Mus musculus: one gene and its partners. The protein of the gene in region 1 interacts with the protein of each later gene in a biochemical or structural test. Links are inferred from orthologs where the notes say so. Each region holds a gene or a part of one and is shown in the gene's direction. Other genes may lie near its edges. The genes, in order: Lrrk1, Tcf25, Snx9, Bag2, Echs1, Gnaz and Bag3.

Region 1 (3,500 bases):
CACCGGGGGAATCACTGCTGGCTCCTGCTGGCCACCAGCTGGAAGCTAGGATTCAGGGTAGTAAGAATAGGTAGAGATGCTCAGCGGGAGAAACTGGGTGTGTTGATGGCATGCTGGATTTCCTCATAATAGTGTGAGGGCCATGGAGCATAGCTCATCTCCGAGGACCTTCTGCCTCTGTATGCAGAAGTCATGGAAAGATCCAAGTGGCTGTCCTATGAGAAATCCAAACACCGCTCTAAATCAAATGCTCCAGGTTTATGAGTAGGGGAAGGAACATCATAATGCTTCGACATGACTGTTTAGAAGTATATAGATCTCCCAAAACCCATAGATACCCATGGCACTAAAGCCTCATCGATCTGTTTTAGGAGAATACACAGAGAGATCTCTAAGAGTACCTATTCCGATACAATTCTTTATAGCAACAATAAATTCACCAAATATGTTTAAAGGTGATGAACAGAGGAGGTGACCCCATATACATCCTTGAGGGGGTAAATACAGGACTCTGCCCATGGCACACTGTCACTGTATCGTGACTCCACTTTGCTAGTGGTATACTCATGCATAGCCGAAGGGAGCTTCTGAGACGCTCCATCCCCCACTCCTCAGGACCCTCTATGAGCTAACTTTCTTCCAGACTGTAGTTTTCAAACAAAAAGCAGAAATGAATTAGCAAGCAAAATGCTGCCTTTAGAAAGGTACCAAAGGGGTTCCCCAGGCTGAAAGCATCCTCATAGGACATACCGGTCACTTCCTTCTCTAGCTCTTACAGTGAGCTTGTCTGCTTTTTGCAGGACCAGAAAATCTATATCTACAGCCTTAAGGGTATGTGCCCATTAAGCGTGCCCCAGCAGGCCCTGGACACCCCAGCTGTCGTCACCTGTTTCTTGGCAGTACCTGTTATCAAAAAGGTAAGGTGGGGAGAGGACATATTCAGGTCTGTCACCAAGTGTGGGAGGATCTCCTTGCTGAGAACAGTGGAGTCACACCTTTCTGGGCCACCTTGCCCAGGTCATAGCCAGCTTTAGAGACACAGGCAACCACCGTTAACCTGTGCCTACCGTCCATGAGCAAATGCCAGTGCCCCTGGCTTAGATGAGGCTCACGCTGGTGCGGATGATGAAGCAAACACGTGGCTCCTTCTCTTGATAAAGGCATCAGGAGCCTCTCCTCTGCCCTGGCCACTGATTTTTCTGATTAGTGGGCGTAGCTGATTCCCTTTCATCTGCCTCTGCCTTCTCTCAAAGACTTGCTTTCCTTCCCAGGCCTCAGTCCTTCATTGCCCAGCATTGCCCAGCATTGCCCAGCATTGCCCAGCATTGCCCAGCATTGCCCAGCACTGCCCAGCATTGCCCAGCATTGCCCAGCACTGCCCAGCACTGCCCAGCATTGCAGAGCAGACCCACTTCCTCGCCCTCCTAACCCCATTCACTCAGTGTGCTCCCCAGCCCCAGCTCCACCGCACCTTGGCATGGAATCTAGCCTCACTAGGGCTGGCAAGGCCACCTCTTGACTGGCCCTGGGCCTTCTCCTCCAAACAGTAGACACGGGAGCTTCACCTTCTCTTCTGGTGAACTGTCAGGAACTCCTCTGAGAAGTTGGGTGGCACTGCTTGCTCTCCCAAGCTCTGCTTCCTTCCCTGGATCCAATCAGGTCACAAGGGGCCTGTGGGTAAAACGCGTGCCTTCCACCAGTGCATAAGCATCACTTCCTAGCACAGCTTTTTATAATGTGCGGCCTGCCCTTATGTGGTCCCCATTTGTCCGCCTAACATGAGGATGATTGAGTAATGAAATAGGTCTCTGGACCTATGGAGCCCAGAGTTCCAGGCTGGGTACTTGGAGCTAAAGGTTGCTATGACTTTGTATGTCGCCAAACCTGTGAGCTTTTCTCTGCACCCTGATCTAGCTTCATTTCTTTATAAAAGGGACAGAAAATGGGTATGAAATGAACCTTACAGTCATTTATGACTGTAGCCCCAGGAGCACCCTAGGCAGCTGGGATCTCTACACCAGAGGCTGGGAGAAACGGACACAAAGCATTATTGAAGGGCCCTGACAGCCAGAGCCCCAGCCAGGGCTCACGTCTTGCCGGAGCAGGGGAAATAAAGCGGACTCTGTGTGAGCCTCCTGCGCAGGGTGCCTGCCCCCGTGGAGGTTGACCTGCGGAGGCCACACAGGGCAGACCGTGCGTGCATTCTTGCACAAGCACGCTCACAACCCACCGAACGTGGTGTTCCCCACGCCGGCCAGCAGGGCCAGGATCCAGAAAGACTTATGGCCTGTTTGCTCTGGCTGCTTTATTGACCTAGATCCTGAAGATGGATTTTGAGAAATTTTCCTAGGGCTCCTTACTGTGGATGTTGTGTGAGAGGCCACTCACTCTACTACCCTGAACAGCTGCCCACCCCGCTCCACACAGGCACCCTGACTGCTAACAAAGTGGCTTTCTGCCATTCCCCCTGGCTAGATAGAACAAGGCTGGGGTCCTGTCATGAACTCTGACTTGGTTCTGTGGCCCTTTTCCTGACCCACTCACTCTGTATCTGCTCTGCTCTGCTCTGCTCTGCTCTGCTCTGCTCTGCTCTGCTCTGCTCTGCTCTGCTCTGCTCTGCTCTGCTCTGCTCTGTGAGACACCCCTGGAAGCCTGTATTTGGCTTTGTACCTGCAGCTTTGGCTTCTGCCTAGTAACCTCTGGCGGTGGCTACAGAGGAAACGGTGCTTCGTGGTAAGTCAAACTCCTCAGTAGTGTCAGCCCAGGCTCTTCAGAGTGTGGATGTGGGCACATGGGACCAAGACATGCCAGCAGGAGAGTTAAGCTAGAAGCTCGTTCTTCCAGGGTCATAGATTGTCCACTTGATGGAAACAGTGGGATCCCGGGCCACAGAGGTGTCTCAGACTTAACCCTTTCCTGTGCCAGTGCAGTGCCCAGGTGACAGTGGTGGGCACAGAGACCTGCCCCCTGCTTTTCTGGAGTTCTCCACCGTGTGAGCAATAAACAGAACTCATGCCTATAACAGCTGTCATGTTAATAAGCTATCTACAACAGGGAGAGCATTCTGCCCTGCCTTTCATGAGGCCTTCATGGCATCCAGGAAAGGCAGCTCCCCGCTGCTCCTCCAGCAAGGGACCAATGCCAGGTGGTGGCACCCTTGCTTGATGCCCTCAGCACTATGGGCACTGTTCTCCCTGGCTTACCTCTTGCCTTGCAGCACCAGTGGTGGGTGTGGCTTTGCTGGGGCAAGGCTACATCATCTCTGGACAGAGTCCTGAGACCCCTGAGCAGGCCAAGATTTCAAAGGCTTTACTTCTCTGAGGCACTATGGAAGATCATGTGACCACTTGAGGCACATAGAGAGATGAGTCTGGTGTCTGTGGTTTCTCTCTTCGCATGTGTGACATGAAAGAATATTGTGTGTCCCTGTCCCTTCCCCCCACAGAACTCCTTCCTGGTGCTGGCAGGCCTGGCTGACGGACTCGTGGCTGTGTTTCCTG
Region 2 (3,500 bases), on another chromosome or scaffold:
GACGTCGTGTGGGGCTGCAGGGGAGCAGTCATGGCTTCTGTAGCTGTACGATTCTGATGATAAAGGTTCCCGGGACAGAAGGACGAGGACAGTGTCTCGGTCACTCAGGTGCTCACTGTAGAGAGTGAGGGTGTGAGTGTGGGTATCCAGAGCCCACATAAAAGGCAGGGCACGGTACCGTGGGATGTCACCGAGTTACTGCAGGCACGGGGCAGGGGCATGGCTAGCAGTGGATGAGCTGCAGGTGTGCTGAGAGGCCTTGTCTCGGAACATGAAGGGAGGGAGCCACAGAGAGGGCTGGGTGGGCAGAAGCACTAAGCCCGATGCCCTGGTTTGAACCTTAGAACCCACATATGGAAGGAAGGGGCTGACTTCTGCAGCTTATCCTCTGGCCTCTGCCCACGCGCCATGCTGTGCATACACACACACGTGCCCCGCTGTGCATACACACACACGTGCCCCGCTGTGCATACACACACACGCGCCATGCTGTACATACTCACACACGCGCCATGCTGTGCATACACACACACGTGCCCCGCTGTGCATACACACACACGTGCCCCGCTGTGCATACACACACACGCGCCATGCTGTACATACTCACACATGCGCCATGCTGTGCATGGGTGCATACATACACCAAATACATAAATAGAATTTAAAGGTCAGAATAATGAAATATAATTGCAGAAAGACACCAGAATTGACATTCAGCCTCTGCACTCATGTACACATGTGTGCACCATGCATGCATGCACACTAGAGATGACATATACACGCACTTCTCTCTCAAAACGCAGGAAGAAAGGAGGGCACTGGGAAAGGCTTGTGTTAGGTGGAGTCAGATCCTTCTCTGCTGAATTGGCTTTGTGAGCTTTGTGAGCTTTGTGCTTCCAGAGCTGAGGTGCCTGACCCTAGAAGCTCTGAGCCCACCTGCTGCTGTAGCATCAGTCATCTGACTGGGCTGATCCCTGCCCTTCTGTGTCCCTTTGTCTGTTCTGCATGTAGAAAATGGGGTTTTCAGGCCTGGTGGTAGTGGCACACGCCTTTAATCCCAGCACTTGGGAAGTAGAGACAGGCTGATTTCTGAGTTTGAGGCCAGCCTGGTCTACAAAGTGAGTTCCAGGACAGCCAGGGCTATACAGAAACCCTATCTTGAAAAAAAGGAAAAAAAAAAAAGAATATGGGTTTTCTTATCTTAAGGTCAGAGGCCCAAGAGGAAGCAGCTATGGCATCCTGGCATACACTACACATCTGTAAAGCCCTGCACATCTGTAAAGCATGTGCTTTGTCCTCACAAGCTTGAGGCTCAGACGTCATTTCTTCCTCTCTTACAGGCTCATCGGAACCTGTCCCAGCTCCCAAATTTTGCCTTCTCAGTTCCACTGGCCTATTTCCTTCTGAGTCAGCAAACAGACTTACCTGAGCATGAGCTCAGCTCTGCCAGGCAACAGGCTTCCCTCCTGATACAGCAGGCACTCACCATGTTCCCTGGAGGTGAGTGCTGCCACCTCTTGTGGGTATGGAACTTGTCTTTCTGGGGATTGAGTCTAGATCACAGCCCTCTCCGTGCTGGATGCAGAGATTGCATTCTCCTAAAGACTTGGCTGTAGCTCTTGTTAGACAGTAATTTACAACCTCCAGTGAGCCTACTGCAAGTTTGGTGAGGTGTCGGGGGAGGGGGAGCAATGCCCTCTCTGGGAGTTAGTTTCAGGATGGGAAAGTGGGGCTTTTTCCAAACATGGTGCGTTAAGATAGCCTGTGGTACTAGAGAAAGAAAGCAAAAGTAGCATCTGGAGAGGCCCAAGGCTAGCCCAAAGAGGCCCAAGGCTAGCCCAAAGACGCTTCAAAGGGCCTTGACTATGAGTAGCCAGGAAGAAACCCTGGTGCACTTCCCAGGCGTTCTTAAAATGTGGGGCCAGGAGAATCGGGGAGAGAGAGCGTGCCCAGGTCTTTCCTAAGAGTGCACACAGAGTGGCACTGACATAAGACTCTGTGGCCAGCTGCTCCCTCTGTTAGAAAGTTCCAGAATTAATGCCACATTGTAGATTCTGAGTTCCCCGAGTCTTGGCCAGAACTCTTGCCTACCAACCAGACCTGGCAGCCCCAGGCAGAAATCCTATTTGCTGACTCAGTGAGGGCCAGTTCTGTCACTTAGAAGCTGCCTCTGCCATCTGGCCTGAGGTCGCTTGCAGGGCTTTTTCTGTCGGGGACCAGCTAACTGGGCATCGATTGGTAGCCCGTGCTCTGTGCTGCAGAGTAAGCACGTCTTCCTCACAGCCCGCTGCAGCACGAACATGTCCCCAGGAAGTCGCTGGGACGGCTGGGTCGTGTTCTGGTAGACTACCAGCATGAGAGCAGTTCGGAGATGTTAGCACTTAGTGAACAGCACTACAGGCAAAGAGAGCCAGGTTGGCTCAGTTGGTCATCCGTCGGATCCTGGTCCCTGCAGAGTTAGCTACAGTCAACCCCACTCTCTAGTCTGCCTTCAAGTCTAGCCTTCATATGATTAAAACGTGCAGCCATCTATGCTTGAAGGTGATAGACAAGAAGTATTCCTTGGATACAGATGAGATGACATGCATCCACTTCCCTAGAGTTTAGAGCTATGTTGGCGCCTAGTGTGAGAGACCCAGCCTATGTACCAATTTTGTGATGGTAGTCAGAAATGAGTCCTTTAACTTCACAGCACCCTGTGGTATATATGACAGCTACCTTCCAGTGTCTCTTGTCTTTTGCTGTGAGGCTGGGACAAGGACTGCACAATCCATGGAACCTTTGCTTCCCCTGCAGTTCTTATGCCACTGCTGGAGTATTGCAGTGTGCGACCTGATGCCACGGTCTCAAACCACCGCTTCTTTGGGCCGGATGCTGAGATCAGGTACAGAGCCCTGCAGATGTGAGACTGCGGGTCCTGCTCCCTAGAGCCCTGCAGATGTGAGACTGTAGGTCCTGCTCCCTAGAGCCCTCCAGATGTGAGACTGTAGGTCCTGCTCCCTAGAGCCCTGCAGATGTGAGACTGTAGGTCCTGCTCCCTAGAGCCCTGCAGATGTGAGACTGTAGGTCCTGCTCCCTAGAGCCCTGCAGATGTGAGACTGTAGGTCCTGTTCCCTAGAGCCCTGCAGATGTGAGACTGTAGGTCCTGCTCCCTAGAGTCCTGCAGATGTGAGACTGTAGGTCCTGCTCCCTAAAAGAGGAGCGGATCCTGTCCTGGGGGCTGCCTGCCCAACTAGAGTAGTGGAGGATGGCCCTGGAGCCACACCCATGTGCAGGGTGTTTCTCTTGTATGGGCAGGTGAGCAGCTGCCAGTCTCAAGAATGAGACCCACAGGATGCTTCCTTAGAAGAGTTGTGGGCAGGCCGTGAAGCCAGGAGGCATAAACGTGGGAAGAGAAGGAAGGTGGCGGGGCTCGTGACCGTTAGTATCATGAACTTTTCCAAGATTTCTAGACTGTCACATTTCTCAGAAACAAGAAAAAACACACAGAAAAAGCTGTG
Region 3 (4,231 bases), on another chromosome or scaffold:
ATGATAAGCAACTTGGTGAGGAAAGAGTTTATTTTGCTTACGCTCCTGTGTCAGACTCCATCATGGAAAGAAATCAGGGCAGAAACTCAGGTCAGGAACCTGAAGGCAGGAACTGATGCAGAGGCCATGGAGGGCAGCTGCTTACTGGTTTGTCCCCCAGGGCTTGATTAGCCTGCTTTCTTACAGCAACAAGGGCCACCAGCACAGATGTGGGCTGGGCGACATAGCTGGGCCTTCACACACCTTTAATAATCAAGAAAATACACCACAGGCATGACTGAAAGTCAATCTGGTGTTTTTTGTTTTTGTTTTCCCCTAGATGAGGTCCCCTACTTCTAACATGACTCTAGCCTTTGTCAAGTAGACATGACACTAGCTAGCAGTAACACACACACAGACACAAGAATATTTCCATGCCTGACTATAGCATTGATACACACAAACATCCACAGAAAACTCTGAATTACCACTTAAACACTATTTTTGGCTGTAACTTGCAAATTCTCTGGTCAGTAAAAAAAAACATTTTTTTTTCCCCAGTGCTGGGGTGCAAACACCTATGTGTCATTCTTTCTACCACCCCCAGTCCTAGAAGCTACAAATTTGACAGTAAAATTAAATATCAACTTCCTGGGATAAGAGAGTCGATTTTATTTGTCTAGAAGATGCATCCTTATTATAAACAACTGCATTAAACTATTGCACTGATTAAGGTAAATCTTCCAGTCTCATCTTTTGTGAAAGTCTCATCGATCAATTCAAACCATTCGTTTATTAATAAAACCCATACAGATCCAACTGCAGACAAACTACTCTCAATCAAAGATGTTATAATTCGGGCTTCTCTTTTAACTTAAGGAAACCTGTTGCGCCCTCAAACTTCTTGAGGCATTTTTAAACAATCCAAAGGGCAGAATTGGGTCATCTCAGGTGGAGTCCCCAAGCGTCCAGGCCCAGAAGCCCAGGCCAGATCACAGCCTCCGAGAAATCCCATGCAGCCTAGATGCAGGAAGCCATTGCTCGCCCTGGGCTGGCTTGTCCGTGTGGCGCTCGCAGTAGTCACCCCCAAGCACCCCGATCCCTCAGCAAGCCCCGCCGTGGGCCCGGGATCCCAGGCGGGTGGCTCCCGTCAGTTCCCGGGGATCACCGTTCTCCGGCTCGCAGAGAGCCGGGCCTGAGGCACAGCCCCCCTCGGCGCCGCGCCCAGCGAACGGCTCGGCGGCGGCGGCGACCAGGCCGCGACCCCGACGCCCGTCCGACCCCGCAGCCGCCGCTCCAGCCAGGGCCCTGCGCTCGGAGCCGCGGGCGGCGGGGTCGGGGCGGAGGCCGGGGCGGGCGAGGAGGCCGGGCTGCGGCCGAGGCCCCAGGCGCGCTTCCGCCGCGCACGCCGCGGTCCATGGGAGGCTTGGCCGGCGGGGGCGGGGGCCGCGCAGCCGGGACTTTCAGGAACTGCAGGCGCGGGCGGCGGCGGGAGTCGCCGAGCCGCGGGGGCCGGAGCGCCGAGAGCAGGACTGAGGCGGAGCCGCCGCGCCGGGCCGCAGCCACCGAACCGCAGACGGAGTCGACCTCCCCGCCCGCTTAGGGCCGAAGCTCCGCAGCACGGGAGACCAGCCGGCCCGCCGGGGCCGGGGAACCGCCCGCCATGGCCACCAAGGTGAGGGGCGCGCGGCGCAGGCCGGACCGGCCGTTCGGCTCCGCGGCGCCGTGGCGAGGCCGAAGCGCCCCGACGCGTCGCTCGCGAGCTCCCCCCACCCCTCACCCCGCGACCTCGGGCACCAGAGCGGGGTCACGCCGAGCGCTGGGGTCCGCTCCCCCTGGGCGGCGGCGGCTCCGCAAAGTTTGCACCTGAGCGGAGACGGGCGCCCCGGCACGCGGAGTTCCCGTAGCCCCGGAGCAGCGCGCGGGCCACTCGGACGCTGCCGCTCCGCACTGAGCCTGGCGCCTGCCTCCTTCCTCCGTACGGCAGCCCGGCGCTCGAGCCGGGCGGGGAGGACGCTGCAGCCTCCGGGAGTCACGCTCCCTCCGCGTCCACTGCCTTCCAGGCTCTCATTTTTTCCTTTTGGTTTTGGCTGGCTTTTTCTGTTTGAATGGGACGTTTTCGGAGCGAATAAAGTATCAAGAGGGAAATGACTGTGCTTTTAGATTACGTGTTTGCCGGCAGAAAAAAAAGAAAAAGAAAGAAAGAAAACATAAAAGGCCCAGGCCCCAACTGCTTAGTGGAACTTTGGTTCCTGCTTGGTAAATGGCCAGGAATCTTGGTTTGCTTATTTTTTTGTTATTGTTTGTGAAATTAGCAGTCCGTTTTTGCTATCTGAGTCTGCAAAAACAAAACAACAACAACAAAAATTAGTTTCTCCTGTTCCTTTTTCTTGTGCGGTTTCAGTAGTCACTTGGGAATGAAATAGCCACCGGGAAAAGCCTAAGCCTTGGAAGTGAGGACCTGGGGTGGGAGGCACCATAGGTGAACCTCTGATAGACCTGCGATGTGCGGGTAGCAGACAGACTGGTACTCGGAGCTTTGATTATGTCACCTTTACAAACAGCGTGCCTTTTCCAGATTTATTTTTGACACGTCTAAGCTACTTCTGGCTTGATGAAAACTTTTTTTTTTTTTTAAAGATGGGTGTTTATAGAAGGTATAGGAAAGTGTTAAGGAATTTGGAAGGTCAGAAGTGCCTGATTTCATTTAGTCTGTTGAAGTTGGGGCCCAGAAAAATTCATTTTCTCTGTCCTGACTCTGTCTAGGTGTAGTGTTTATATGTAAATGAAGCTTCTTCAGAAACCTACTGCTACTGTTGAAATAATTGCCTTGTTAGTAGTATATCTGAGCAGTTGTTGCTTGGTTTTCCTAGATATAAGACAACTACCTACCTTTCAATATACTTATATTGTGACAAACTTTGTTGGAGATGAAACCTAATTTAAGCAGAGGATTTTTGAGGTTTGTTGCCTAGACATTTCAGAAATTGAAAATTCAATTACAGAGTTATCTTGCAACATTGACAATGATTTGTGACATAGACCCTATTCTGTAATATTTGTACTGATCTGAGGCATGCATGCCTACTTCAGCTTAGCAAGTAATGCATATATCCAAGCAGAGGAAAAAGTTTTATTTGATGGTGGCGAAGCCTTATGTTTCCAGTGAAAAAGCACGGCTGTCCTTGGGCTGAAATTGAGGTGCCTGTGACCCCTCTGCACACTGCCTCACTACCTGTGTAAGCACTTCCTACTTGTTATCTGCTTCTGAAGGCAAATTCCAGCTCTCCTGGCTGCCTGTTGGTGCCCTTCCCTAGTTTGTAATCACAGTTCCAAGAGGCCGCATCCCCAGGTGGACCAGAGGACAAACCACTGCCCTCTGAAGAAAGGGGCTGGTTGGGAAAGCCTCGTTAAAGGGAACTCCTCTGCGCTTTTCTCCGTTTGTGTGTCAAAGCAAAGCTCATTTTTGAGTTGGTCCCTGAAAGACACACCTCTTCCCTTCCCCACAGCTGAAGAGTTGGAGTTCTTCCCTTCCTTGAACCCTGTAGGTGGTCAGGTGTACTTAGCAAGGACTGATGATGGACTCAATGACGTTTAAGCCCAAGTAGTGCCCAGGCTTTTGCTATAAGAGCTAAGTGTTGGGAAATGAATGCATCACGTGGACAGCTGGTAGGGTTGGGATTGCCTTAGTGCTTATGGGAAAATGGCTTTAATTCTCCCATACACAGTTTTAGTCTAAGTCGTTCTTACAATATTTTCTTGAATATACACTTATCTCTGAAGTCACATGATTATTTTGAAAAATATTTATTTTATGTGTATGGGTGTTTTGTTCCAAGAAGAGGGATCTGGATTCCCTGGAACTGGAGTCAACTGACCGTCGTAAGTAGTCACGTGGATTCTAGGAACCAAATCCTGTTCCTCTGCAAGAGCAGTGGTGCTCCGTAACCACTGGGCCATCTCGCTAGCCCTGAATTCTCATGACTTTTAAGAGCTTTTGGTAGAGTCATAATAGAAAAAAAAATTGTGTAGAGCTTTAATTGGGCAGATCTTCATTGCTAAAGACAATTCGTCAGTAACTATATGCTTTAAAGGGATCATCTGGGTTTCGTTTCTAATCTTTCCTCAGTAGACTGCTGAGCTCTGCTTAAGTTCGCACACAGCTTAGAGTCCAGTCATGTCTTATTTAGCAAACAGGGCTACAGGCCTTGAGAGTGTCTCAGTCTTGACCTGTGTTAGATGCTTCTTAACA
Region 4 (4,279 bases), on another chromosome or scaffold:
CCTGCACCAGGCAGGAAGAGTTCCAGAGCCATTACCAAAGCAAAGCTCTCCACAAGCTCAGGTAGCACTGAGGGATTTTTTTTTTTTTTCTTTCAGGAATCCTGTACATATTCATGAAGGAACATGCCTATTCCAAAGCATGCTCAGTTTAAAGTCATAATTTATATAAGGAAAAGAGCATAGGCGTGTCATTAGACAGGAGCATATCCGTAGTAACTTAGACTGGAGATGCCTCTGTGCGTGTTCAACGTGTGGAGACATTTAAACAAACATATGAAGATCCCTGCCATTTTAGTTACTTTCCTACTGCTGTGATAAAACACCTCCACCAAGACAACTTGTAAAAGAAAGCATTTAATTGGACTTAGATACAGAGGGTCTGAGTCTATGATGGCTGCAGAGACATGTCCTGAGCACTCAGATCTCAAACCCAAGCAGAGGCAGAGAGACACTGGGAATAGCTTGGTCTTCTGAAACCTGCCCACGGGGAGTGATACACTTCCTTCAGCAAGGCCACACCCAGGCCTCCCCAGTGTTCAAGTGCTAGAGAGCACAGATGGCATCTCATTCAAACCACCACATCTGCCTGGCCTCGTTGCCAACCTAACAGAGCTATGTCTGCGGCCACTTTTATTTTTCCTTTGACACTTGCTGAAGCTACCCAGCCTAGCCTTGAATCCACCCTGGCCCACGTTACACAACTTGTCAGCCTCCAGAGGAGCATTAGACCTGAGACCTGCCCAAGTTCAGACTTTCAAGATGTCCACAAAATGTTCAGATTTCACGGTTGTATCGTGAGATGACAGTGTTTAATGAAGCCAAGATAATCCACCGTTTATTAGTATTAAGATGTGTTCGGGGTGTGGTGGGGACAGGATTAGAAACTGTACTTAAGGGGCTTGTCTCTGTTCAGTAATCTAATGGCTTTGAGTTCTGGGTAAAGGATGTAAATGTACTTTGTTTCCCATTTTCTGTACCCTGTACACTGAGAGGACAAAACACAACTTTAAGATGCGGCTTCGTATTTCAGACCTACTGACCTCTGCAGCTTCTGACATCTAAGCCTACTGAATATCATTCGCAGAGGGTTTAAACAAGTTATGTGTGATAGTAATAATCCTTTCATTGGAAAGGGGAGACAACACGGATCCACTTGGCTTCTCCTTATTTGGAGCCTGTGGTCTAGGCTTTCCCTGTCCTCTCCCGAGCCTGCCTGGTCACCGGACAGGTCGAACAAGTAGAGACTGCCCTAGGGTGCACTGGATTGTCTCCTCTTCTCACGGGCTGCACCCACTTCGTCCTTGCTGTGAACCGTGGGTGCTGGGAGGACCGGCCGAGGCCCTGGGCGCCGGGGCAGGGTCCCCCACCCTGGCGTGCCCGCGGCTGCGACCGCGCCTGCCCTTGTTTGGCCGCACGGCCTCGGGGGTGGAGAGCCGGGGAGGTGGGGGCGGTGCCGTCCGCGTCAGCGGCGCCCGTGGTGACGGCGACGTGCGGCTCGCGCCACTGCTGCCCGCGGACGCCGAGGACCCCCGGAGCTCATGGCCCAGGCGAAGATCAGCGCCAAGGCCCACGAGGGCCGCTTCTGCCGCTCGTCTTCCATGGCCGACCGCTCCAGCCGCCTGCTGGAGAGTCTGGACCAGCTGGAGCTCAGGTGAGGGCCGCGGGGCGCGCACAGGGGCGAGCGCGGGCGGGGGCGCGCTCCGGTTGGGCTCCCCTCCCCCGGCCCGGCAGACTGGCGAGCGAGTGCGGCTTGCAGAACTTCCAGAATCTTCTGCGCGGTCCCCCTCTGCCTTTAACTTTTCTGCTTCCAGGAGGGAGGCAGCAGGTTGGTGTGCCCCCCCCCCCCTCACCCCACACTGGAGTAAGTTTCTTTGCCCCAGATCACTTCATAGTAATACAAGTGTAAGGGAGGGGGGGGTGGTAGTATCCAGGACGGCCCCTCCTGGGGATCATCGAGAATCGGACTCATGAGAGACCGCGCGAGGTACACCGAAGTTGGATACCATCCTTCATTCTCTCAACCACGTGCAATGCCCTCTGCAGTCTGTCCGTGTTTGTTGTACATTTAGAAGACACGGCTGACACCTTGGAAGTGCCAATCGCAGGCCCGAAAACACCAAAGGCAGGAGTCACACTCTCCCTAAGATTCTGACACGGGGACAGCCTTGTCGTAAAATTTCTAACTCATGAATACTACTAACGAATGCTGTGAACACTTGGTTGGCTTTAACCACGTGAGCCTTATGTATCTGGTGGAAATGTTAATGTCTTCAAAGTTGTGCAAGTTTTGATCATGTGCAGGTGTTCCATGAAAATCTTATCAAGATGCCCTGACACACACGTTGTTCCCTAGTTTTCTCCGGGTTCTGCGTAAGCAGAACACTATGACCCAAAATTATAAGAGGGAGATGAATCTCCCTCCACGCAGCCACCAAACACAGGGAAGTGTGTCTGCACAGGAAAAAAAAAATGCAAGCAGTGTTCGTTACACGGGAGGCGCTCATTACTGTTACTATTAGGAGAAAAGAGCCAGAAGGTGAGAAAACTTTCACTGACTGTGGAGTAGCCACAAAAGAAACCTGAACCCTATATCCCCCAACTCCGGGAGACAAAGGGACCTGCGCTGTGAAAGGGGGCGAGAATGTTTCCTTGTGCGAGGTAGGCTCTAACCTTTGACAGTATATTCCCAACTGCTCCGATTTTTTTTCTTGAAAGGGTTCAGGAAGTTGTGACTCTTCAAGCTGAGTCATTGTTCTGAACCTTTACTTAATCAAGCCTGTGTGCCGAGTCCTTGCTCTTCTCCTGGGGGCCTCTTGAAAGTCTGGAGTTTGCATAGACATTCTAGTGTCTGATTACTATCAAAGGAATCCTGACTACCAAACATAAGCGATTAAATTACGTTACTTATTAACAGTTGCGCTGAAGGGGTTTTATTTCTGTGTTTAATGGTTCAAGGCCTTTACCAGTAACTGCAGAGTTCTGTAAGTCTTGTTTCTCCCTTAAAAATGTAATGAGCACTTAGAAGTAAGTGTGTCAGAAGGGGCAAAGAAATAGAAAGAGATGCTGCCTGGTAAGGCTTAGGGGCCCTTTTTAGAAGCCATCTGGACAGTGCCACAGAGCATGACAGTATTCAAAATTAGACTTTTTAAAAATGGGGACGATGCTCCTGTGACTTCCCCCTAGCTTTCTTAGTGTACACGTCTGAGGACAACAGTGGACGGGGTACTACCGGAAATCACTGGATTGTCGCCAGTGCGCATCTTCCATTCAGGTGAATGGGTTCTGTGAACAGCAAAAGCCTGCTCCCTTGTAAGACTGAAACCACACCCAAGGCTTTCTGTCCTGCAGGATGCACTGATCTTCCGGGCATTGAAAATGCTTTTAAATGTTTAGCCCAGTTTTACAAGCTGGTAAAGGGTGCCATTGGTTTTTAATGGCTTATAATATTACAATTAAAAACATTTTTACATTAAAATATCCTTACATTAAAAAAAATTTTTTTTTTACTACATCTCCTTTCCTGTGGTGCTTTCTCTAAAAAGATAATCCTGTCCTTTCCTGATTTTCATGACCAGTTCTATGGGGACTCTGCACATGCTGAGGCTAAATACTGTACTTTTCAGTGGTTGTAAATAATCCACGTTAGCATTAGTCTGTAGGCTAGGCCGCGTGTCTCTGTGGGAGTTACCGTTATCTGTATTGTACAGATGAGAACTTGAAGCTCAGATATATACAGTGTGTCTCAGTCCAGAGCAGTGGACTTCGCCTAGGAACACGGGGAGACCGGCTGCTCAGACCAACACCATTTGTCCTGGTCTTGAATATCACTTTTCAAACTGTCCAGCTGATATATGAATGAATATGATTTTACTAAAGGAGGGGAAAATCGATTTAGCATTTGATTCAGTAAACCTTGAAGACCTAGAACGTGCCAGTTATCGAGTAGCTGCTCCGGGCCTGGGGTTTGGACATTGGCCAAGGAGGGATAAATGATTGACAGGGCTGGAAGGCTGGCTCTTTACACATCTCCCAAAACCGATCCCGCCCGCAGTGAGCAGCTCCTTTCCAGTTCACTCAGCCAGGAAAGGGTGACTGCCAGCGGGAGCCAGGGAAACGGGCCACCCGCCTGCTTTGGTTTCTTACTGTTTAAGGTTCCTGTTCGGATGCGCCAGTGTTCCAGGACCCACGAAGCAAGTTGACACCATACTTAATTTGGAGTAACAGTCTGTAATTTAGAAGGAACACTTTTCGTGTACACTGTAATTTCAACCACTGTAAT
Region 5 (3,500 bases), about 74 Mb from region 1:
CTTTAATCCCAGCACTCAGGAGGCAGAGGCAGGCGGATTTCTGAGTTTGAGGCCAGCCTGGTCTACAAAGTGAGTTCCATGACAACCAGGGCTATACAGAGAAACCCTGTCTCGAAAACCCCCCCCCAAAAAAAAAAAAAAAGAAAGAAAGAAAGAAAGAAAGTCTTCCACAGGTAAGGCTTGGGTGTTAGTTGATTGGCGATGTGGTCAGGTTGATGACCAAGATTAACCAACCACGGTGACTTTAATATCTTTATGATGACACTTCCCTTTGTCCTCTTGACCTAGGTGCTAACTTTCAGTACATCATCACAGAAAAGAAAGGAAAGAATAGCAGCGTGGGGCTGATCCAGTTGAACCGCCCCAAAGCACTCAATGCACTTTGCAATGGCCTGATTGAGGAGCTCAACCAAGCACTGGAGACCTTTGAGCAAGATCCTGCTGTGGGTGCCATTGTGCTCACTGGTGGGGATAAGGCCTTTGCAGGTGTGCAGCCATGGTTGTGGATGGGAGGGGAATGCTAGGGCCTGTGGGAAGCAGCAAAATGGACCAGTTTCTCTGTGATGAGAGGGGTGCCTTAAGATATACTAACCTGTAAAGTAAGCTGTGTGGAAGAGCAGGGCATGTGTTGAACATTCAGGTATGCTCAGTTCCTTACTAGTCAGGTAAACACTGGTCTAAGCCGGTCCTCCTCTAAGTGTACCTGCCACCCACTGCCTGACACAGTCCTCAACATTACCTTCTTAAAACAGATGGCTTGGTGAGTTGTTGGTCCATGTCTCAGCTGTCCCCACTGTGGAGGGAAGTGCCCCCAAGCCTTGAGGACTGAGAAGTTCTTTAATGTCTGGTCATTGAACCCGCACTTCTACCCGTAGCTGGAGCTGACATCAAGGAAATGCAGAACCGAACATTTCAGGACTGTTACTCCAGCAAGTTCCTGAGCCACTGGGACCACATCACCCGGGTCAAGAAACCGGTCATCGCAGCTGTCAATGGTTATGCTGTAAGTGACAGCTCCCCAGGGGCCTCCTGTGCCTTTAAAAGCCAATAGTGTCTTTTGCTATCTGCTTTGTTTGATGGAGGCCCGTTGGCGAGTTCCCAGATGCCTTAGTGAACTTTTCTGTTTCTTTTTAATTGCTGCAGTGGCTAAGCTACTTGTGTGAAGGCTGTGAGTACTCTGTCTGGACGCCCACAAGGGTTCCTGTTTCACTAGGCTATTGAGAAATGCAGCACTAGCTTAGCCCATGGAAAAGCCATGTGATTATTATACATGCTGATTATTGAATAAAAGCCATCCTGGTAGGGTTGGTCAGCCACTCAAATTCATGCTTTTACCCTCTGTGGCTGATTTGGAGCCACTATGCCAGACTGAGTTATTCACCACAAAGCCACAAATATTTACTGCCTGGCCCTTTGCATAAAAGTCTATGCACCCAGCTAAGGGGAGCAACATTACCCTTATGTTTATCCTACCACTTAAATCTAGTTTTGTTCAGCTAAGTTAACATTTGCTCTTATCTGACTCTGTTTCATGGTTCCAGAAAAGTTCTATAAGCAAACAGAGTGGTTTTCTGCCTGGGCTCCTCTGGTCAAATCCAGCTGCTTCTGAACATTCTTATTTTTCAGCTTGGTGGGGGTTGTGAACTTGCCATGATGTGTGATATCATCTATGCTGGCGAGAAAGCCCAGTTCGGACAGCCAGAAATCCTCCTGGGGACCATCCCAGGTAAGAATATGTGAGCTGGGGGCTGGAGAGATGGCTCAGTGGTTAAGAGCACTGACTGCTCTTCTGAAGGTCCTGAGTTCAAATCCGAGCAACCACATGGTGGCTCACAACCATCTGTAATGAGATCTGATGCCCTCTTCTGGGGTGTCTGAAGACAGTGACAGTGTACTTACATATAAATAAATAAATCTTTAAAAAAGAAAGAATAGGTGAGCTGTAGCAGGAGAAGCCTGAGTCTTAGCCTTTCTTGTCCGTTCAGTTTTCTCTCCGCCAACCGGCACCTGAAAGACAGCATATGACACTTAGCGCAGTCTGGAAGCCTCAGGACATGCCCATCTCTCATGAATATACAGATCCTAAATCCAACAGTATCATAAACACAGAGTTTACTGGCTTGAGCCACAATGGTTCTTTCCTGCCCATGATCCACACACCTTTAAGAGCTTTGTATGTCACGAGCTTGGGACAAAGATGAGTAGACTTGGGTTTACACCGAAAACTCTGTCCCATGTGAGTCTGGCTCTGTCCATTCCTATGCCAGTGGCGTAACAGGTCAGGAAGCTTCCCTGAGTTCAGCACAGCGGATTGGGGGATCCTCACTCCCCACTGCCTGGGAAAGCCCTAAGATATGGAGGAAGCAATAGCATTGCCCTCCAGGAGCCACTTAGACCTGGCAGGAGGAGATGAACATTCAGAGAAAGGACTTGAGCCCTCAGAGAAGAGACCACATTCAGAGGAGGTCTCTGCTACTCTCCAGGCTTGACCAGGCTTGACCAGGCTTGTTCTGAGATTCTGAGCAGAGAGAGCAGTGTATTGGTGCAGGCCGACCTGGAGAAGGCAAGGCCGACCTGGAGAAGGTAGACCTGGAACCTTCTTCCATCATGGTGGGAAAGGAGCCAATTTGATTTTTCTTTCTTCCTTTTTAATGCCGAGAAGGATCCCTTGGCCTCGCGCTAAAGCCTCTTCTGTCACTGAGCTACATCCCAGCCCTGGGTTTCTTCTCAGTGTCACCTGACAAAGGGCCAGGTGAGACCTCAGCTCTCTCCCTGTAGGTGCTGGAGGCACTCAGAGACTCACCCGAGCAGTCGGCAAATCGCTAGCAATGGAGATGGTCCTCACTGGTGACCGCATCTCAGCTCAGGATGCAAAGCAGGCAGGTGAGGTATCTGATGCTGGGAGCTGGGGAAGGCATAGGCTGCTTCAGGTGTCCCCGTGGGTAGCTGGTGTTGGAGCCCTAAGGTTCTGTCCTTAGCTTTTATATCTTGAAATACATCATATACCAGAGAGTGGCAACATATGTTCAGGTTAGAAATAATAACAACATCTCTTTCCACTGCCTTTAAAAGCTCTTAAAGGCCAGCCTTTTTTCCTGCCCTTGCCAGTGACCACAGTCCTCAAGTCCTCTGTTCCATTTGATCCTGTAGACAGCATGTGACTGGAGCCCGTCAGTGGAGAGCCCAGAGTCACCCACTGCTGGGGACAGCCATCCCTTGTTAAGGACCCAGGGAACTGGCCTCTCGATGTCACTGGGTTCTAGAGGAAGTGGACAGGGATATTTCTGCATAATACTCAGACTTTTCATGTTTTAGGTCTTGTAAGCAAGATTTTTCCTGTTGAAAAACTGGTTGAAGAAGCCATCCAATGTGCAGAAAAAATTGCCAGCAATTCTAAAATCGTAGTAGCCATGGCGAAAGAATCTGTGAATGCAGGTAGGAGTCTGCGGGGAAGAGGCCACAGGACTGCAGAGGTGAAGTTGTGAGGTTCCAAACTACCC
Region 6 (4,201 bases), on another chromosome or scaffold:
TGTCTAGGGACTAGCCTCTGCTCCCTCGCCAGGAATATTGTAAGTTCCATTGCAAATTCAACTGTCAAATGTAATTCCTACATTGGTTTTACCCTCAGCAGAAGGATGAACTCTGCCCCCTGAACCTGCTGCAGAAACTGCCTCTGCCCAGCCTAAATCACTTGCTAAGGTGTATTTCCTACATACATTAACCCTCTGAAGAGTCGATAGTACAGTTTTTGACAGATTAGGAGACTGACTCTCAGCCAGGTTCCAGTGACAGACTGGCTGCACAGCCGGATGAGTTGGTAGAAATGCTCTTTAGCCATTAGCAAAAGTCCTTCGGTCCTTATTGGTCACTGTAGCAAGACAGGTGTCTTGACTGGCTTCAGTAGTACCCATAACCAGTACCTGGTCCCATCCCTAAAAGTTTAGGCAGCCCTTTCACAGGTGGGCTGTCTACCTGGGGTATGCAGTACAACAGTCAGCCACTGCACAATTGAGACAATCCCACGGAAAGTGGTGTGATGTTGTCCTGCCTCTGGAGCGTCTAGCTGGCAAGCACCAACATTATCGTCATGGCTCCCCATCTCATCCTGGGCTCTAAGGCACATATGCTTAAAGTTACAAGGATGGAGAAGGCAGAGAGGCACTATTGTGGTGGCACCTGGCCTGAGTCTTTCTTGTACAGGAGTAAGGTACTACCAGCCAAGACCCACAGACGGACTCCTCCTGATGAGAGTAGAATCTCACAGCTAGGTTCGTTTGTCAAAGATCTGATGTCTCCTGGGGAGTTTCCAAAGAGGTCAGGGGCTTCATTGATCTGGGACCCTTCGGCTTCTCTCTGTTGCGGGGGTCGACTCCCAGAAGTGCCCCTACATGCTAAAAAAGGAGAGCAGAAGAGAGGGCGAACCATATGCTGCGAAATCTCTCCAGCTTAACCCATCAGGGTTTTCTCGCGCCCTAAAGGATTATTGACATTATCCAAGGAAGCCTGGACGACAGCACCTTGCAAAAAGACATTGTGGGAGAATAGGTTGCCAGGGCTGAGTTCGAACCCCATTTGAGGTAGGGCAGGAAAGCCAGCGTGCAAGGAACCGGGGCTACACTGCTCTGAAGGTGGGTTTCCCAAGATGCTAGAAGTAGCTTCGGGAAGGCTCGGCGCAGTGCAGTGCCACAGTAGCTGGAGCCAGCAGCGCGTGCGGTAAGGCGGCGCGCGCACAGCCGCGCCCCTCCCCTGTCTGTCGTTATTGGACTACTCGCACGTCCGTCGGCAGTTATCGCCCAATGGAAAACGAGCCGGAGCTAGTGGTCGGGCGGCAGCGCGTGGTGCGGGGCAGACAAGCGGCAGACCCCGCCCGCGGTTGGCCTGGCAACGGACTGCGCTCGCGACTCCGCCCCCTGCCGGCGGCGGCGCGGTGCGGGGCGGGTGGACCCGCTTGCAGGCGGCGCGGGAGGGCGGAGGAGGGAGCCAGGGCGGCGGAGCGTGTGTGCCACCCGCGGACCGGTCACGTCCTCGCGCGGCCGCCGGCACCCGCTTCGTGCAGAACCAGGGCGCCACAGCCCTACGCTCGCGGCCCCGCCCCGCCGGGTGCAGCTCGACCGACGCACGAAGCCGCGCCCGGGAGGTGAGTGAGTGAGCGCACCAGCGGCCCCGGCGCGCACAGCTGAACCCGGGGCTGGGGGCGCGGCTGGGGCGCACCCCACCCCCACCCGGGTCGGGGCCTGGGGCCTTTGTGCTGGGGACCCGAGATCTATAGGGCTAGGGGTGCAGAGGCAGGGATGCCCCTCCGGGTGGGAGAGCCCGCTAGGGGTGGGGTTGTCTGCTAGGTGGGCAGGGGGTGGCTATGGCCCAGACAGGTGCCTTGGGAGGGAGGAGCGGCGGCCCAGTAACCCTTGGAAGGGGTGGCTGCCACCTGACGAAATTGGGCAGGGGGTGCAGAGGATGATGTGGGACCACTGCACGCCCTGAGCGGGTGCGGAGTGCAGGCGGGCGATCTGCAGGAGCGACGCCAGGCGGGGGGTCTCTCTCCGGGGGTCCAGGGGTACAGGCAGCCGCAGGTGTCAGGAGCTTGGCCTTGGGTAAAAAAATAAAAAAATAAAAACGGGAAGAGAGGGCCCTGAGGCCCGGTACAACAGCTCGCTGTTCTCGGTCATCGCTCTTGCAACGGAGCAGGTTCCTTGGAGGCATTTGGAGCCAGAGATGAGTATCGACCTGCTGCGATTGTAATGTGTTCCTGGCTCAATATTTTTTCCCTTAAAAGGCGGTGGGGTGTTTGGGGAGGGGTGTGAGGGCCTCTGCTCCGGATCCTGCGGTGAATCTATGGGGGCTCTGCCTTTAGGGAGGTGCTGAGCCTATCTGGATGGAGGATGGCAGGAATCTGCCTAGGCCGAGAATTGGGGATCCTGTTACAGAGAGGAGGATGGGAAAGCAATGCCAAGTGAGACCAGGGTTCCCTGGAGTGTGAGTCTCAGGGTGGAGGGACCAGCCTGGTAACGATGTCGCCTTGTCTGTGGAGGAGATTGGGGCAGGACCCTGAGCCTTGACACTCTTTTCTGCCCAAGTGGTTTCTTAGCGCTGAGAATCATCATCTAGGTCTGCTAACCTGGCCCCTGTCTAGAGGAAGCTGCTTGGCCAGATTCAATTAAGCAAACATTTACTGAGTACTGGCTCCCCTAGGGCTTGTGCTAAGGTGGAAGGGTGGGAGTGGACTGGGCCAGCCCTCCCAGGACTGATTCACCTTCCTCAGGGGGAAATAGGGCTGTGCTCTGATAACCAGGCCTTCCTTCGGTGCAGTGCAGGGGGGCTTGGGAGGGGCCTGGGAGAGAGATACCCCGGGCTCAGGTCAGACCTGCCTATGGGCAATGTAACGTTTGAACTGGAGCTTGAAGGACACGGGCAGGGTCAGAATGGGCAATGTGGGCAGAGGGAAGAGAATGAATGGAGAGGCCCAGGAACTTGGGCAGCTGGCTGGGTTGGGAAGGAGCAGGGGAGGGATATTGAGGGAGGGAGGAGTCAGGACATGGATGAGGGAGGGGTGGGTGAAAGGCCAGAAAAAGCACAGGAAGGGAAATGGACAGAGGCACACCATGGCTGTCTGACCATGTTTGTGGGGCTGTCTCGGTGGAGACCACAGCCTCCGTGTCTATAAAAGGGAAGGTTCTGTGACCCCTGGAGCGTAGTTGTGTTAGAGAAAGAACTTCAGAGACCAGAGAGGGCTCCTGGCCACCTGGGACTGCCCTTGCAAGGCACCTTGTTCCTGGCAGAGCCAAGGGCCCTGGGTAACCAACCCACCCAGCCCCCTGCCCAGCCGAGATGAAGTCACCTGCTTTGAAGGAGACAGTTTTTTTAGCTGGTGAGTCTGGAGTTGGGAAGTTTTGGAAAAAAAAATGACTCTGGTAGGAAAGGCCATTGAGGGGACCCAGGAGGCTACAGAGGGTTGTCCCGTGCTTGGATAAAACAGCGCCTCTTCCATTTGCCTTCTCTAGACATGAAGAGATGCTTGCATTTGCTGTAAAACTCTTCCTGTGTGTTCCTCTAACAGATGCTTTCCTTTTTATGAGACAGGCTGTGAATAGACATAGTTCTTCCCCCATAGAAGGCCGATGTCACCTTCTGCCCTAGCTCTAGCTACTCCCTTCTTCCCAGAGATGGTTTTGGTTTCTCTCAGAAGGCCTGGTTCTTACTCATCCTGGTAGTGTGCCCACCATCAAAGATAGACATGTGCACACACACATGCACGCACACACACACACACACACACACACACACCCCTCCTCCACACACATACACACAGGATATTGGCTGAGGCTCAGGGTGCCCCAGCAAGAACACAGCCCACCTGCCCTTATAAAATACATGGTCTGTGCTTCTTGCCTGGCCCAGTCCAGGGACCTGCCATGGAACTCAGGGTTTGAAGCCTAGAGAATAGATTCTTAATTCTCTTGTCCCCAACCTCCTAGACCTTTTGGTACCTTTGGATTAAAAAAAAAAAAGTATCTCATCTATACCTCAAGAGATCCTGCGGATCCTATGGGGGGATCCAGCAGTATCTGGATGACTAAATACAGACACCGCTACCAAGATGCCCCTGCAGAGAAACTGCTGAGAAGGAGTCTTCTTGGGGGAGTGTATCCTCAGTCTAGCTAGTCTGAGTGCTCATGCGTGTGCACGAGTGTGTGTGTGTGTGTATGTGTGTGCACGCGCGCGTCCATGTGTGTG
Region 7 (4,112 bases), about 62 Mb from region 1:
TATTTTTTAAATAGGGCATTGCTAGGCGTAGTAGATGGTAGTGTGCACCTTTAATCTCAATACTTGGGAGGCAGAACTATATAGATAGACCATATCTTTAAAAAAATATCCACAGCCAAGCAGTGGTGACACATGCCCTTGATCCCAGCACTTGGGAGGCAGAGAGATGGATCTCTGTGAGTTCAAGGTCAGCCTGGTCTACATAATTAGCTAGTTCTAGGACAGCCAAAACTACACAAAGATACCTTGTATTGAAAAACAAGCGAAAAAATTCACTTTGTATTCAGTCTTCAATAAACATCAATCTTTATTCCTTTATTGAAGATGGACTCTGGATTTAGCCACGTGCTGGGTGGGTTCAGGTATAAAGAAGCAAAAGACAGACACTGACCAGTGAGTGAATCTAAGTGTCTAGACCTTTCAATGTGACTATCAAATGATAATAAGTCAATATTCCCACATTTGGGCTTATACAGGTGTGTTTGGTGGCACCAGGCAGTACCTGAAGGCTAACTATGTTAATACTTATACTGAGGCTTTGAGACTTCAAAGTCAGTAAGAAGGTCTTTGGAAGTAAAAAAAATCAGCTTGTTGGAAATGTCTGGCAGAGTCCTCTAGTATTTGCCACAGAGTAAAAATCGGAGGGGAAGAGGCCAGAGATGTATCTTTGAAGGTCCCAGGACATTCTCTGAATCTGAGTCAGGAAATTGGCCTCAGTATTGGTTCCAGGTGTTTCTGAAGTCTAGTCACTGTGCGAAAGTGCCTATATAGAAGGCCAAGAGCACAAAGTTGTCACTTTAGTCCTTGCTTCTTCAGTTTTCCAAAGCAGGCAGGTGAGTTTCCACAGCTCTTTCTTTTTGTTGTGACCTCAGATCAGCATTCCAGAATTTCTCAGAAGTCATAAGGCCCTTGAGAAAAAGTTACTAAAAACGTCACTGCAGGACGCCAGCGTCACTGAGTGTGAAGAGAGAGAAAGAACTAGACTTTCCGAGTTTAAAGATGATTTAGTCCTTACACAAAGGTGGGGCCCCAGGTGTCGGCCCTTGGACTGCTAACCCCGGGACACCCCCACGCGGCACGAAAGAGTGGTGGGGAGTCCGGAGACAGAAACCAGCCAGAGAGCACAAGGACACCGGTGCGTGTCAACCTGGCGCGAGGCGCACAGGCCCCAGGACACACACAGGACAGGGATAGGGAGGGACAGCCTGGGTAGTCTAGGAGAAGGAGGGGCGGGTGACAAATCCCCGCCTCCGATCCCTCCCAAGGTCCCGCCCCGCCGCGATTATAGCCTATGACTCAGGGCGGAGCTCCGCATCCAACCCACGGCGGCCGCCAAGTTCTCTGGATGGGACCAGAAGTTTCTAGCCGGCCAGTTGCTGCCTTCTCTTTATCTCCTCCTTCCCCTTTGGCAGCTAGGAGGCTATTTCCAGACACTTCCACCCCTCTTCGGCCACGTCACCCAGTCCTTTAATTCATAAAGGTGCCCGGCGCCGGCTTCCCGGACACATCGGCTACACAGAGGTGCCCGCACTCCACGACCTCGTGACCCGCGCCCTAGCTCTGCGCCCCGGGCGGACCCTAACCCAGCATGAGCGCCGCCACCCAATCGCCCATGATGCAGATGGCGTCCGGCAACGGAGCCAGCGACCGAGACCCCCTGCCCCCGGGCTGGGAGATCAAAATCGACCCGCAGACCGGCTGGCCCTTCTTCGTGGACCACAACAGCCGCACCACGACGTGGAACGACCCGCGTGTGCCCCCCGAGGGCCCTAAGGTGAGTGGAGCTTGCCGTCCCACCTCGACGGCGAAGGGGCCTGGTCGAGCCAGGGCTATGCGAGTCACCCCACCCCGCGCCCTGCTGCGCAAGGAGAGTCCTTAACCATATCCGCCTCGAACGGGCGTCGGGCCGCAGAGAGCCGCAGGCAGGGTGGCCTTGGACGGTAGCCAGCGGGGTGCGACCCGCGTGGTGACATCGGGTGGTTTTCCACAGCCTCTTGCGAAGGGCGAAGGGCAGTGGTGGCCTGAGCTGCGGTGCGCCGCGTCCCAGGGAAGGGCGACCGGCCTGATGAGCGGCTGAGGCCCAGGCCAGGCCCGGCCGCCGCCTCTCTGTCCCGCGCGTCCCGTGCTGAGACCCTGGGCTCCCTCCGGTGCTGATGGCGCACGGCCAGGATTGAAAGGCTGCTGAGTGGAGTCTCCTGTGGGGATTTCACTTTCAAATTCAGAACTTAGTTGAGGCTTATCTTGAGTTTACTGGATCTTAGGCATAGAGTGACTCAGGAGGCTCGAGTAAATAAGTTATTTTCCCCCATTAAACTTATTATTACTGGTCGAAACTGCTTTCAGTTAGAGAAAATTCTGATACTACCACTATTTTTTTTTAAGATACTCTTTCTGACAGTTCCAAAACTAAAGATCAGACATTGTATCACCATACTTAGCCACTGCCTTAAGACTCACACTGGAGTGAAAGAATGTATTTTTAATGGCGTGATTCCTTGTTGTCCTTTTCAAATACTGGAGTTTTGTTACCAGAAACAGCTGAGGAGTCTGGTGAACACTAGGTGTATGCTTCATTTGCATAGATATTCAGGTTTGTGTACTTCAATCTAAAAAGCAAGAAAAATTGAAAATACAAATTTGGAATGAAGCCCAGCCTGGTTCAGGCCTGTCATCCCAGCACCCAGGAAGCTGTGGCGAGAGGATCTTGAGTTCAAGTCTAGCCAGGGCTATATAATCGGAGTCTATCTCAAAAGTTATTAAGTAATTAAGTTGGAATGAAACTAGCCTGTGTTGCAAAATAAGACCTTGTCTTTTTTTATAAAAAAAAAGAAAAAAAAGATTGAGCTGGGCAGTTGTGGCACACCTCTTTAATCCCAGCACTTGAGAGGCAGAAGCAGGCAGATTTCTGAGTTCAAGGCCAGTCTGGTCTACAGAGTTCCAGGACAGCCAGGGCTACACAGAGAAACCCGATCTCGAAAAACCAATAAAATAAAATAAAAATAAATAAAAATTCGATTGAATTTTGAGTGAAGAACTTAAAAATACAAATTTAGGTAGGATTTTTCTTGTTTGTTTTGTTTTTCTTTTTTTAAAATTAGATATTTTTTTATTTACATTTCAAATTTTATTCCTTTCCTCATTTCCCCTCCGAAAACCCCCCTATCTCATTCCCCCCCTCCCTGCTCATTACCCCACTCACTCCCGCTTCCCTGTCCTGGCATTCCCCTACGCTGGAGCACAGAGCCTTCATAAGACCAAGGGCCTCTCATTGATTTCCCACAAGGCCATCCTCTGCTACATATTGGGCTGGAGCCTTGAGTCCCTCCATGTGTACTCTTTGGTTGGTGGTTTAGTCCCTGGGAGCTCTGGGGGTAGTGGTTGGTTCATATTGTTGTTCCTCCTATGGGGCTGCAAACCCCTTCAGCTCCTTGGGTTGCTTTGCTTTTCAAGACAGGGTTTCTCTGTGTAGTGTTGGCTGACCTGGAACTCACAGAGATCCTCCTGCCTCTGCTTTCTGAGGCATGAGCCACCACCATCCGGCCACGTAGGATCTTTGAAAATATAGTTAACAGAAGTCATATTTAGCATAATGTTCAGTAATAATTTATGTACATTTGGTCCTTTCAAAATGAAAAGTTTGGTAAAGTAAATGCACTTTAAAATAGGACTCTATCATCAATGGGAGGAGAGGCCCTTGGTCCCGTGAAGGTTCTATGCCTCAGTATAGGGGAAGGCCAGGGCCAGGAAGCAGGAGTGGATGGGTTGGTGAGCAGGGGGAGGGGGGAGGGGATGGGAGTTTTCAGAGGGGAAACTAGGAAAGGGGATAACATTTGAAATGTAAATAAAGAAAATATCTAATTAAAAAAGGAAAAAAGAAAAAAAAAAATAGGACTCTACTTTGGGCCTGACCTGGTGGTACACAGCTTTAATCCCAGCTCTCAGAGGCAGAGGCAGGTGGATCTCTGAGTTCAAGGCCAGCTTAGTCAATAGAGAAATGTTGCCTCAAACAAACAAAACAAAACAAGAAGAAATACTCTTAACTTATTACTTTCTGGAAAAAAATAAAAGCAGTAAAGAGTTTATAAATTGTTTGGTATTTTCAAAAACTCACC

The links.
Region 2: the proteins of Lrrk1 (region 1) and Tcf25 form a complex in vitro, tested with the Homo sapiens proteins (2 studies listed by BioGRID and IntAct, with this or other methods). The link is inferred for Mus musculus from reciprocal best matches to the Homo sapiens genes LRRK1 and TCF25.
Region 3: the proteins of Lrrk1 (region 1) and Snx9 form a complex in vitro, tested with the Homo sapiens proteins (2 studies listed by BioGRID and IntAct, with this or other methods). The link is inferred for Mus musculus from reciprocal best matches to the Homo sapiens genes LRRK1 and SNX9.
Region 4: the proteins of Lrrk1 (region 1) and Bag2 form a complex in vitro, tested with the Homo sapiens proteins (2 studies listed by BioGRID and IntAct, with this or other methods). The link is inferred for Mus musculus from reciprocal best matches to the Homo sapiens genes LRRK1 and BAG2.
Region 5: the proteins of Lrrk1 (region 1) and Echs1 form a complex in vitro, tested with the Homo sapiens proteins (2 studies listed by BioGRID and IntAct, with this or other methods). The link is inferred for Mus musculus from reciprocal best matches to the Homo sapiens genes LRRK1 and ECHS1.
Region 6: the proteins of Lrrk1 (region 1) and Gnaz form a complex in vitro, tested with the Homo sapiens proteins (2 studies listed by BioGRID and IntAct, with this or other methods). The link is inferred for Mus musculus from reciprocal best matches to the Homo sapiens genes LRRK1 and GNAZ.
Region 7: the proteins of Lrrk1 (region 1) and Bag3 form a complex in vitro, tested with the Homo sapiens proteins (2 studies listed by BioGRID and IntAct, with this or other methods). The link is inferred for Mus musculus from reciprocal best matches to the Homo sapiens genes LRRK1 and BAG3.

Annotation. Positions count from the first base shown.
Region 1 is NC_000073.6:66,262,842-66,266,341, reverse strand, and holds part of Lrrk1 (leucine-rich repeat serine/threonine-protein kinase 1), read left to right. Parts: intron 1-800; coding exon 801-917; intron 918-3,445; coding exon 3,446-3,500.
Region 2 is NC_000074.6:123,394,211-123,397,710, forward strand, and holds part of Tcf25 (transcription factor 25), read left to right. Parts: intron 1-1,340; coding exon 1,341-1,500; intron 1,501-2,796; coding exon 2,797-2,884; intron 2,885-3,500. UniProt on the Homo sapiens protein: Component of the ribosome quality control complex (RQC), a ribosome-associated complex that mediates ubiquitination and extraction of incompletely synthesized nascent chains for proteasomal degradation.
Region 3 is NC_000083.6:5,839,893-5,844,123, forward strand, and holds the start of Snx9 (sorting nexin-9), read left to right. Parts: upstream 1-1,431; 5' UTR 1,432-1,642; coding exon 1,643-1,654; intron 1,655-4,231. UniProt on the Homo sapiens protein: Involved in endocytosis and intracellular vesicle trafficking, both during interphase and at the end of mitosis. Required for efficient progress through mitosis and cytokinesis. Required for normal formation of the cleavage furrow at the end of mitosis.
Region 4 is NC_000067.6:33,754,951-33,759,229, reverse strand, and holds the start of Bag2 (BAG family molecular chaperone regulator 2), read left to right. Parts: upstream 1-1,479; 5' UTR 1,480-1,538; coding exon 1,539-1,651; intron 1,652-1,663; exon of another isoform or gene 1,664-1,825; intron 1,826-4,279. UniProt on the Homo sapiens protein: Co-chaperone for HSP70 and HSC70 chaperone proteins. Acts as a nucleotide-exchange factor (NEF) promoting the release of ADP from the HSP70 and HSC70 proteins thereby triggering client/substrate protein release.
Region 5 is NC_000073.6:140,109,922-140,113,421, reverse strand, and holds part of Echs1 (enoyl-CoA hydratase, mitochondrial precursor), read left to right. Parts: intron 1-288; coding exon 289-486; intron 487-875; coding exon 876-1,003; intron 1,004-1,626; coding exon 1,627-1,726; intron 1,727-2,778; coding exon 2,779-2,883; intron 2,884-3,315; coding exon 3,316-3,435; intron 3,436-3,500. UniProt on the Homo sapiens protein: Converts unsaturated trans-2-enoyl-CoA species ((2E)-enoyl-CoA) to the corresponding (3S)-3hydroxyacyl-CoA species through addition of a water molecule to the double bond.
Region 6 is NC_000076.6:74,965,776-74,969,976, forward strand, and holds the start of Gnaz (guanine nucleotide-binding protein G(z) subunit alpha), read left to right. Parts: upstream 1-1,401; 5' UTR 1,402-1,607; intron 1,608-1,647; exon of another isoform or gene 1,648-3,335; intron 3,336-4,201. UniProt on the Homo sapiens protein: Guanine nucleotide-binding proteins (G proteins) are involved as modulators or transducers in various transmembrane signaling systems.
Region 7 is NC_000073.6:128,522,271-128,526,382, forward strand, and holds the start of Bag3 (BAG family molecular chaperone regulator 3), read left to right. Parts: upstream 1-1,312; 5' UTR 1,313-1,588; coding exon 1,589-1,774; intron 1,775-4,112. UniProt on the Homo sapiens protein: Co-chaperone and adapter protein that connects different classes of molecular chaperones including heat shock proteins 70 (HSP70s), e.g. HSPA1A/HSP70 or HSPA8/HSC70, and small heat shock proteins (sHSPs), e.g. HSPB8.